Linked DNA regions of Xenopus tropicalis. The protein of the gene in region 2 purifies or fractionates together with the protein of the main gene of each other region. This does not show direct contact. Links are inferred from orthologs where the notes say so. Each region holds a gene or a part of one and is shown on either strand. Other genes may lie near its edges.

What was found. Proteins that work in one complex are often made in the same cells at the same time.
Region 1: the proteins of nop58 (region 2) and snu13 fractionate together in Homo sapiens (co-fractionation; 3 studies listed by BioGRID and IntAct, with this or other methods). This does not show direct contact. The link is inferred for Xenopus tropicalis from reciprocal best matches to the Homo sapiens genes NOP58 and SNU13.

The regions. Positions count from the first base shown.
Region 1 is NC_030680.2:113,913,441-113,918,254, reverse strand, and holds snu13 (NHP2-like protein 1), read right to left. Parts: upstream 2,749-4,814; 5' UTR 2,644-2,748; coding exon 2,641-2,643; intron 2,111-2,640; coding exon 1,990-2,110; intron 1,199-1,989; coding exon 936-1,198; 3' UTR 603-935; downstream 1-602.
Region 2 is NC_030685.2:52,323,841-52,329,582, forward strand, and holds the start of nop58 (nucleolar protein 58), read left to right. Parts: upstream 1-2,298; 5' UTR 2,299-2,414; coding exon 2,415-2,459; intron 2,460-3,958; coding exon 3,959-4,035; intron 4,036-4,528; exon of another isoform or gene 4,529-4,617; intron 4,618-4,855; coding exon 4,856-4,908; intron 4,909-4,986; exon of another isoform or gene 4,987-5,076; intron 5,077-5,216; coding exon 5,217-5,341; intron 5,342-5,742. UniProt on the Homo sapiens protein: Required for the biogenesis of box C/D snoRNAs such as U3, U8 and U14 snoRNAs. Part of the small subunit (SSU) processome, first precursor of the small eukaryotic ribosomal subunit.

The sequences.
Region 1 (4,814 bases), on a different chromosome or scaffold from region 2:
ATTAGTGACAGTTAAAAATCAATTTACATAAATTCTCTCATATTTGTAGATGTGATATATTTTCATGGATCTTGTTTCCTATAAAGCACTTGTAATTAAACCTTTTTCCAAGAATGTCAAAGCTTTTTGGATTCCATCATATCAAAGTTCAAACATGTCTCTAAATGTATTCCCTCAAGTTTATTTCCATGCCCTTTCCTGTTCTACTGCTACTTCTATATCTTTTAATACACTTTCACATTTTTACTTCCTCCCACTTAAATACGCTTACCTTTTAAATGAACACATCTGGTAACCCTTTTCCAAAAAAGCCATGTTGAGTCTGAGAACTCTGAATTAAATTTGTTCTTGCTATCTTGCTTCCACCAACTATGCACCTATATTAAGGACAAATTTAATTACCCCTAAAGCATGCCATACAAATGGTCTAACCAACAACCATAAATACTAACAGCACAATATGGGCATTATTCAAAACCATAAGAACAAACACCCACTCACTAAAGCAAAACTGTCAGTGTGAGTATTAACACTCCCATTTCAAGCAGGCCTGTATGATAAAGTGGTGAAAATCTGTAACATCCCAATAAATACAAGTAGACTTCACATGTATATTTTTATTAAAAATACATACAATACAAGTCAGTGTAATGAAAATAAATCTTTCAAGATCCTGTTTGACACAAAAGCAATTCAAAACAACTGCAAATGTAAAAAGTAAAAAGAAACTGATGACAGCTCAATATAGTCCTCAGCTACAATTGCTGTTAAATGTGTTAACTCATAAGACTTCACTCAGTTGTGCTGTTGTAACTTGGCTCCAGCCAAAGATACAAAACTCACCACTGGTTTTCTTCGAAAGCTACTAAATCAAACAGTGTGATGAAACGCCTTACAGCTCTTCTGAAAGGGAAGGTGAACATACAACCATCAAATTACACCAGCAGCCTCTCAATAGACTGCTGAAGAGACTGGATTTGAGGCTTCAGCTGGGAACCTTCCTTTATGGTGACTGCACAAGCAATCACTGGCCTAGAGACTCCACAAGCTCTTCCAAGTGCTTGCTTGGAGCGCACAAACACATAGGGGACATTCTTGTCTTCACACAGGAGTGGGAGGTGTAGAATAATTTCCAAGGGTTCTGCATCAGCCGCCATGACTATAAACTCAGCTATGCCTCTGTTTAGGGTTTTTGTAGCTGGAAAAGAAAACAGCGTGTGTTATCATCAAGGACACTTCTGATATATTATACTGGCTACTTTGTGTAAACAGGGCACTCACATTTAGTGTGTATGGTGTTAAATAAAGGCAAAATTAGCCCCAGCAAAGAATTGCTTCTATGTTCTGAATTAGACAAGCTAACTGGTAATATAGTAATGTGTACATAATAGGTTTTTAAAGCTTCTTTGTTCCTTGTATCCACTATACAGCACTACAAAACTGATGCTTTAAAAGTCAGCTGCTCAGCCACCACAGCTTGTTATACTGTAACTTTAGAGCAGTGCAAACCAGATGCAGAAACCAAGTGTGTCTAAAGCGTTTCATTGCAAGAAGGGTTAGTTTTTTTCAGGCTGCTGTAACTACAAAATTGCTATGATCTAGGGCAAAGACAAAAAAAACCCAAAACAAAACCGTGATATACCATGAATATCAAGTCCTTGGATGGACCTGCAAGTTTCCTCTGTATTTCTATAAATGTCCTTTTAATAAGGACTGTCTAATGTATCTTAAATGGGGCTGCTATGAGTTAAACCTGATCTTAGGGACCAACACAATATAGAGAATATATATATATAATGTAAAAGTTACAATATAAGGCTGTTTCCTTTTACATCCTGATTCACATTACATGGCAGCCCAAAAGCCAATGTATTCTGCATAAAAAAAAATTAATGGGGGCATGCATGTAATGATCAGCATAACGGTCTCTAACACATGATATTTTTCCGTATTTACTACATTACAGCTTACTGTTTGGGCATGTCTTACCTTCATTAGCACCCTTGCGAAGCTGCTTGTAATTAGCGGCTTGCTGAACAAGATCCAAAAGGGTTTTTGTGAGCTGGGCATCTGCAAGTGGGTAGGCTTTAGGGTTCACTTCTGGTTCAGTCTGAAAAAACAGGATTAAAAAAAAAATAGTATTCTATGAATTTAATTCAGCAATGCCAATATATTCAGCAGAACCATCCAAAAAGGGTTGAATAAGTGTGGCATGCCGACAAGTGGGAATAAACTACCCTCTGTACCATAGAGAAAGTATTATGCATGCCAGGCTATCCTTGAAAGCACCTACTGGGGGCTACATAACCCCCGGTGCAGAAGTTACAGGAGTTTGTGTCCATGTGCTCTTAATAACAATTCATATGTTAGGCCATTATGCCCGATTTGGTTTAAATGAAAACGCTCAAAATGAATCATACTGATATAATATTACTGATCAGCTATAAACCAACGCACACAAGCGCTGTGGTACAGGCAATTTCACACCTCATCGCCAAACACAGCACAAGGGCATGGAGAGGCACATAATGCAGCCATCACCACGTGTACTGGTAGCCAAGCTACAGAGCAATAATGGCCGAATGGGCACTAAATATACACAATCACGCACCCTGAGGCTCCCTTGCCTGTGCTACTTACCATGGCAGCGCTTGGTGTTTATCCGTTCAGTGGATCGGTGATGAAAGCTTCTCCTCTCAGCCCGCAAGCCTCACGGAGGATGATCGAATGGACCTAATGGGAACTCCGCAGTGGCAACGTGTTGTAGACTTCCGGCAAAGAAGAAAACCGGATGGGGCGGGACGTCCCTCAGTAGTCTCTGGGTTGCGGCTCCGGCAAAGACGAAAACCGGATGGGGCGGGACGTTCCTCAATAGAGAATGGGTTGTAGCGTAATAGGATAGTTATAATCACGTGGCTGCTGGCAGGGAAAGGCCGCGAAAGGGGCGGGGTTGAAGCGGACCTGAGTTAAAAATCGGCTTATTAGTTAGGGAAGGTTTATTATTATATGTGTTATTCTCTGAATTAGCTATTACAACAATAATTACGTGTCAGTTAAGCATATATTTGGGGAGAAAATCGTAGTTGCTCTATTAGATGCTTTATTTGTTAGTGGGGAATGTAAGTGGTGGCGCACAGAATGTTCTGCTGACAGGTATAACACGCTGCTTATGGTGTGAGACTTGTGTACAACTGGAGGCTTTCATTCAAGGTAGTGCGCGTTAACCAAAAGCCATTGTAAATGAAAGTTAGTGATAGCAATAGACTAAGGTGCCCATACACTATAAGATCCACTCGCTTGGCGATGTCGCCAAGCGAGTGGATCTTCACCCGATATCCTCACCTACGGGTGGGCAATATCGGGTAGCAAGTGGCTTGAAAAAAAAATAATCCGATCGTTTGGCCCTGGGGCCAAATGATTGGATTACATTTGCGGCCATGGGGCAGTCGGTTCGGGGACCGCATCAACGAGCCGATGCGGTCCCCGATCCGACCGGATTTTCTGACCTGGCCGATCGATATCTGGCCAATTTCAGGCCAGATATCGGTCGGCCAGGCCGCTCTGTTCTGCCCATACACGGGCCGATTAGCTGCCGAATCTGTCCATGGGACCGATATCGGCAGCTATAGTCGGCCCGTGTATGGGGACATTAAACAGCAGAGAGTGGCTTATAGATAGAGGCCCATACTATGCATTGGATCACTGGGGAATCCTCAAGCCCCAGCACAGAGCACTTCCTTTCAAGCTTCAGTTGTGCCAAATGTACATATCAGATTTTTAAAAGGAGACAAGGGAGCTCCCTTGACATCATGCTTTTGATGAATAAAATGCTTTTTTAACTATAATACCTCCCTAAGGAAGTTTGTTTTGGTGTGCAGGGCTTATATGGGGTTTTATTGGTATATTTAATCCTCTTATGGGGGGGATTGCTAAAACCCTAGCACATAGATATTATATACTTTACATTTGTATTTTTTTGTGGTTAAAAGGCAAGAATATTCTAGCTCGGAGTGCCCTCTATTATCCTAAATTCCATCTCCTTCACTCCTCTCAGAGTCTCTGTTAAACATTACTGTTAAACATTTAACTACAAATTTTTAAAAAGTAAAAAAAAAACAAATAACTACTTGTCCAGGAGTATTTGGACATCACTGCCAAGCTTTGTCAGATAGCAATAATCTCCTGGAAGCAGTCAATGTATTGTAAGTTGGTCTGAGTGCCCTCCTCTTTGGTGATCACACCTTTTGTTTGCATTGCACACTCAGACCGACTCGCTGGCTCTTGCTGCTGTGGAGCTGGGTCTGGTACCGGTTCAGCCATTACCACCTCTGCGGCTGCCCATGCCTCCTCCGGCGCGTCCGCTGCCACCTCCTCCTGCTGTTGAGGCACTGCGTTGTCTCCTGCATGAGAAAGCTACATAAGTATTTTTATCTCCCTCCATTAAAGGCATGCACAGGTTAGCAATCAGATCAGGAACATTAGTTTCTAGGCATAAAAAAAACATAAAGAATCATGATTTTAAAATCCCTCATCTGGCAGAGTACAGATGAAAACCAATGGGAGTTTAGCCAAAAAGATACACACAGAGCAAACAGCTACAATTAACATTTATGTTAGTGGCGTCCGACTACAGAGTTTACTTTTGGCCCTAAAGTGCAAAAAGAAGCATTTGTTTAAATGAGTAACAAACCGATCATCTTGCAGAGCTAAGTGTCTTTTAAAAAAAAATCTAAGAAAAAGTTACACATCCACGTACTCACCATGTTGCTCCTCCAAGCTTCGCTGGATTGAGCTAACCAGGTCCGGACTTCTCC
Region 2 (5,742 bases):
GTAGGGGCAGATTTCAAGCTTAAATTCTGATTCTGTGACAAACTGTCCCATGTAGAACCAAATATTTATTCAGGTTCTTTAAAGGGCCATTTAGCACAGAATCAAATTTTAAGCTTGATGTGTGCCCACTGCTTTATTATGGGGCAGTTACTTCACGTGTTGGGAGGAGTGCTTAAGATATGCGAGCTCTGCTGCAGCTGTAGAATCTCAACCTCATCAGCGATTAAGAATAAGAAAAAAAAAAGCCGGTGTCAAAAGGCAGCACCAGCATCTGGCCTCTGGTCGCAGAAATTTGTATTACTGACATTTTAGGTATGCAGTTCTGGGGTGGGGGGGTTGTAAAGTCTATGATAAATTAAAGACATATAAATTAAAATAAATTAAATACAATTCATAAGTATTATGGGAATATTCCCAAATCAATAGTGGAGCCAGGTGCGTTAGCAGTATATTGGTTGGGCTCCAAGCGAATTTTTGCCGATTTTTCGCGATTGTGCGACTTTTTCGTACGCTTGCGTGACTTTTTAAAAAAAAAAATAATTTACCATTACTCGATCTGTGAAAACTGGGCATCTGAAGCTGTAATGCAGGGGTGGCCAATACGTCTATCGCGGTCTACCAGTCGATCCCCATGGATTTCTGGTGGACCACGATCAAGCCGGGGATGCCGCATTCCGCATCGGTCCGGTCAATCATGACCTCAAAAAGTCTGGCCACCCCTGCTGTAATGTAATTTAACTGCTACATAACCACGTGGACTACCTTTCAAGGTTCAGTTGAGCTGTTGGGCTAGTATTTACATTGTATGTATTGTCATTTAAGAAAATCTATAAAATAACTAATTTCTCTGTCATACATGTTTTAAATCCATTTTTTAAACTTTTCAGTAAAACTTTTTTTAAAGGAGACATCCTATAAAAATTAAGAATGTACCAGTAAATTATACTCCTCTAGATATAGAAGGATTGTGCTTAAAAAAGTTGTGTTTCTGGCTGATTTATTGAGAAATTCCCCCAAAACCTCACTAGTCCCGCCCATCCGTTCCATTTCCTGCTGGCTGAATTCTCTGGATGAGCTGGGGAGCTGGCGGCTCTCAGTACACTGCTCTGTAGGATAGGAACCAATCTGCAGCTAGGCTGACCTGATAGGGAACTGAAGCCTGTCTTTGCTTGTGTGACTGCAGGGCTGTGATTGGCTCTCCCCCTCCTACTGTGCTTCTGGCAGGGACTGTTAGGACACACCCACTCTCCATTTCAAACTTGGACAGAGAAGTGATATGATCTATAGGGAGCTCCAATAAAGGGGCCATTGTTACAGACAGGATTAATTTTTAGCACAAAGTGAAACCAGCACCATATATTTTTCATAATTGCCTACAAAATTAAGGTTTTTACCATTTATCCAATATGTCTCCTTTAATAGAACAGTAAAACCCTAATTTTACATATCCCAGGGGAAGGCGTCAAAACAGCTTAAAATCTGGAAAAATTTTAAATTTGGGGGAAAAAATGACACCACTTGCCTGTATGGGGCCACAAAAAAACAGCGTCAGTTCCAGGAAATCTTAAAATCCTGGTATGTAACCCCAATTGGGGTTCTACTGTATTTGCTTTTTTATGTTATTTAATAATAATTAACTACACCTATTGTATTTTAGTTCAAAGAATGTGCACAGGGGGCCCCTGAGGTCTGGTTCTCTGGTGGGCCCTTGGTACCCCAATCCAACACTGAAGTTACTGATATACTGTATAAGCCTAGAAAGAACACTGCAGTGACCTTTTAATTAGAAATCTTAAAGAAAAATGAAATTTTATTTATACAGCCACACAATAAAAATTATTACTTTACAGTAGAACCCCCGATTTACATTTTCAGGAGAGAAAATGGTGTAAAATCAGGGGAAATGTGTTAAAGCAACTTATTCTTCTTCATGTACTTAAAGGATATAATTACTGGAGTCAGTTTTACTTTAAAACGTAAAATTTTGGGGTAAAATCAGGACAAAATTTTGGTGTCAAATCTGGGGAAACACAGTGACTACAAATTTTGGTTAGAAGTCTAGCGAAACAGTGTAAATTCTATCAAAAGCACCCAATACAATATAAATGTCACAAAGAAGCGCACAAAAACTTAAAACCAGGGGATATGAGATTAAGGTTTCGCTTTTTTATTATATTCGCTCATATTTCGTTTATCTGCTGGATCACTGAGCTGAACAACAACCAATCGTAACGCACACGTGCCAAAGCGCCATTGCTGGCAGAGGAAGGAAGGAACTGGAGTAAGCAGGAAGTGACGTGCGAATTGAAGGCGGTGGAAATCAGAGTGTGTTCCTTGCTATTCCCGGTCACACGTGTCTGCCGAGCGCTAGTCCGTAAGTGCTGCAGCTATCGGTGGACTGACGGCGGGCCAAGATGCTGGTGCTGTTCGAAACGGCGGCGGGCTACGCCATCTTCAAGGTAATCCGTGTCCGGTGGGAAGTATTGATGCTGCTAGTGAAAGGGAGAGCTGAGCACATGGTGGGGCCATTAGCAGGCCACATGGGCAAGCGCTTCACTGTAGCGCAGCTTTAACCTTTGTATCGGGTTTCCTATAGCTGAACGTTTGAATAACATTAATTTGCAACTTTGTAACGCGTGTGCATATTCTAGCTACATTGTATTTATTTTAGAGGAAATATTTTAACAAAGTTTGATTTACTTGTTTTAGAAGTACGAACTACACTACATTACTTGTCTGCTGGAAAAATGCATACTTTTATGAATGTATCGCAGTCAAGTATATTGTATCCTCTGCTTATTTATAATGATATTTTTGGCTTTCTATAGTTGCCCCAGGGAACTCCAGCCAATGTGATATCTTTGCAACACTTTGTCTGCTTTGTTAATTCTGTCTAAAACCAATGTAGTAACTAGAACATAATGGGCCCCACAGCTAGATCAATTTAGGGCCATCTAAACTTTAGAAACAAGACATTTTTACTAAAATAATAAAAGGAATATCAGTTACTGCCCTACTTTGCCTCTAGTGCCTCATAGCAGCCACAGGTTCTGATTCCTTACCTTACTGCCATGACTAAAACCTTATCATTTTTATGAAATTATTTGTACCAATTCCAATAATTTAAAACTATCTGCTGTCTTGCAGTCAGATGTATGCGAAAACTGCATAGTTCAACAGTTCCCTGATAAGGTGCTCATTTGTAGTGGAAAAAAAATATTTGCTACAAAAGCACCTGTAATTGTGTTATGCTGCCAGTGGCATATTATGTTCCTCATATTGGTGGCTTCCCAGGAAAGGCTTAGGTGCCAGGCGAAGTTGTCCACATTAAATATTTGCATGTATGCTGCTAACCAAAACACAACAGGATGCAATTTGGCCTGTATTTGCACACCTGTCTAATACAGTGACCCCCAACCAGTGGCTCGGGGACAATAAGTTGCTCACCAACCCCTTGGATGTTGCTCTCAGTGCCGCCAAACCAGGTAGTTATTTTTGAATTCCTGACTTGGTGGCAAGTCTTGGTTGAATAAAAAGATTTACTACCAAATAAAGCCTCCTGTAAGCGGATAGTGTGCATAGAGGCTGCCTAATAGGCAACTACAGTCCTTATTTGGCACCTCCATGAACTTTTATGATGCTCGTGTTGCTCTCCAAGTGTTTTTACATTTGACAGTGGCTCACGGGTAAGAAAGGTTGGGGATCCCTGGTCGAATACAATTGGGGTGCTTTTCGCATTCAATTCTCTGCTGTAACAGAAGAGCATTACTGGTGGCAGCTGCTGTAACTGCAGCTCAGGGCTTCTGCATGTTCACATTTTTTTTTCTGTTCTCAGCCTGGGATGTTAGGGTTCATTTAATCATGTGTCACTTAACTGAATAAAAAAAATAAACAACCATGATTTAATAATTTAAAATTCTTTTCCCTTCAAAGTGTCTAAAACCATTTCTCTTTACAGGTTTTGGATGAGAGTAAGCTGCAAGAAGTAGACAGCATATGGAAAGAGTTTGAAACACCAGAAAAAGCAAATAGAGTGTAAGTTCTAATAACTGTGCACTGCTGAATTGCATTGTCTAGCAATTTACATTTTTGTTCCTTTCAAAGATATTAAGTAGTTTATAAATTGGCAATATAATTGTGTATCAGCGCCACCTACTGGTCAGTTCCTCTGACTGTAAAATCAAAGAGATGCAGACAATGTAAGGTTAGGTGATACCTAACTGTGTAAGTAAAAATTGCAAGCTTTCGGAGTACCTAGGGTCCTTCGTCAGGCAAAATACAAATGAAAGCTGGGAAGGGACAGCATGTATACTGTTAGATCATTGAAATAGGTTCATGGGAAATAAATTAGGAAATTACAGATAGAGATAACTTGTAGACATAAGAAAAGTAATTAGGATGGGTTCTAAATAGGATATAAAAAAAATAATCCCTCTTTAAGTAGCGTTTAGTGAAAAGAGTAAGGATTACTTTAATTAAAGTTTCTGGGTAACATTTCAGAGGCTATGAAAACTGGGTCTGATATATTTTCCATATTGCCAATGATGGATCCTTTGTTGAACTGATTACTTGTGATTTCATTCAACAATTCGTCACTACCACTGAGGCAATACTTAAGTGTTACGGAAAATTAATTCTTCCGTCTGAATTGGTTTTACTTGGTTTGAGTCCAGGGCTGAAGCAAATAAATTGGTTGGTAGTCCAGGCAAGTTTAAAGTTTTAAATTGCTTTTGTATAATTGCTTTTTGTGTGTGATCTTTAACTTTGTTTAAAGGCGGACCTGTTATTGGTCCACTATAACACACACAGTGCTAACCGTATAGCTTGAAATTTGTAAAATATTTCTGTATTGCAGGGTGAAATTAAAACACTTTGAGAAGTTTCAGGACACAACAGAGGCATTGGCAGGTAAATATTCTTCATATGCTTATCCCACTCTGCCACCATATTTTCATGTATGAAAAACATGCTATACCTGCAGTATTGCTAAATGTCACCTATGATGGATAAATGTTGATCTGAAACAAAATGATTTTAGATTCAACTCTTCGTCACTACCACTGAGGTGATGACAGGTTTATTAATTTCTGCAGATATTGGTGAAAGGATGTTCATTTTTAAATTAGCAATTAACAAGATAAGACACTGCCCCTTTTAGCTAAGTTTTTATATTGTCATAAACTATGAAATTAATTCTCTTACAATTTTATCTTTAGCTTCCACTGCTCTGGTTGAGGGAAAACTCAGTAAAAATTTGAAAAAAGTATTAAGAAAAATTGCAGCAAAGGAGGCTCATGAGCAACTTGCAATTGCAGATGCAAAGCTTGGGGGCGTCATCAAGGTATTTATTATAAATCAAGTGTGTGAGTTACAATAACAAAATTATAAAGGCCAAAGGAGTCAATGCATTTGCGTAGATTCATTCATATTTGTGCATTACACCTACGCTTTTCTTTGTCTTGAATTTTTGTATGTGATCTTTTTGAATGAAAGAAATAATCAATGTGCATTTAACAGTTTTGCATTTGCAGTTTGATGTGGATGAATTAAGTTAGAATAATGAGAGGATGAGTTAAAAACTAAATATTCTTAAAGTATTTCAGTGCTTTAAGAAATTTTAAAACTTTAAAGAAATTTAGCATGTTTCAGAATTGTAATACTACTATTTGCATTGAAGTACAAGGCTGCTAGGTATTTGCCAGAAAGTAAAAGTAACAAAACACTATTGCATGCAGCTGTTCA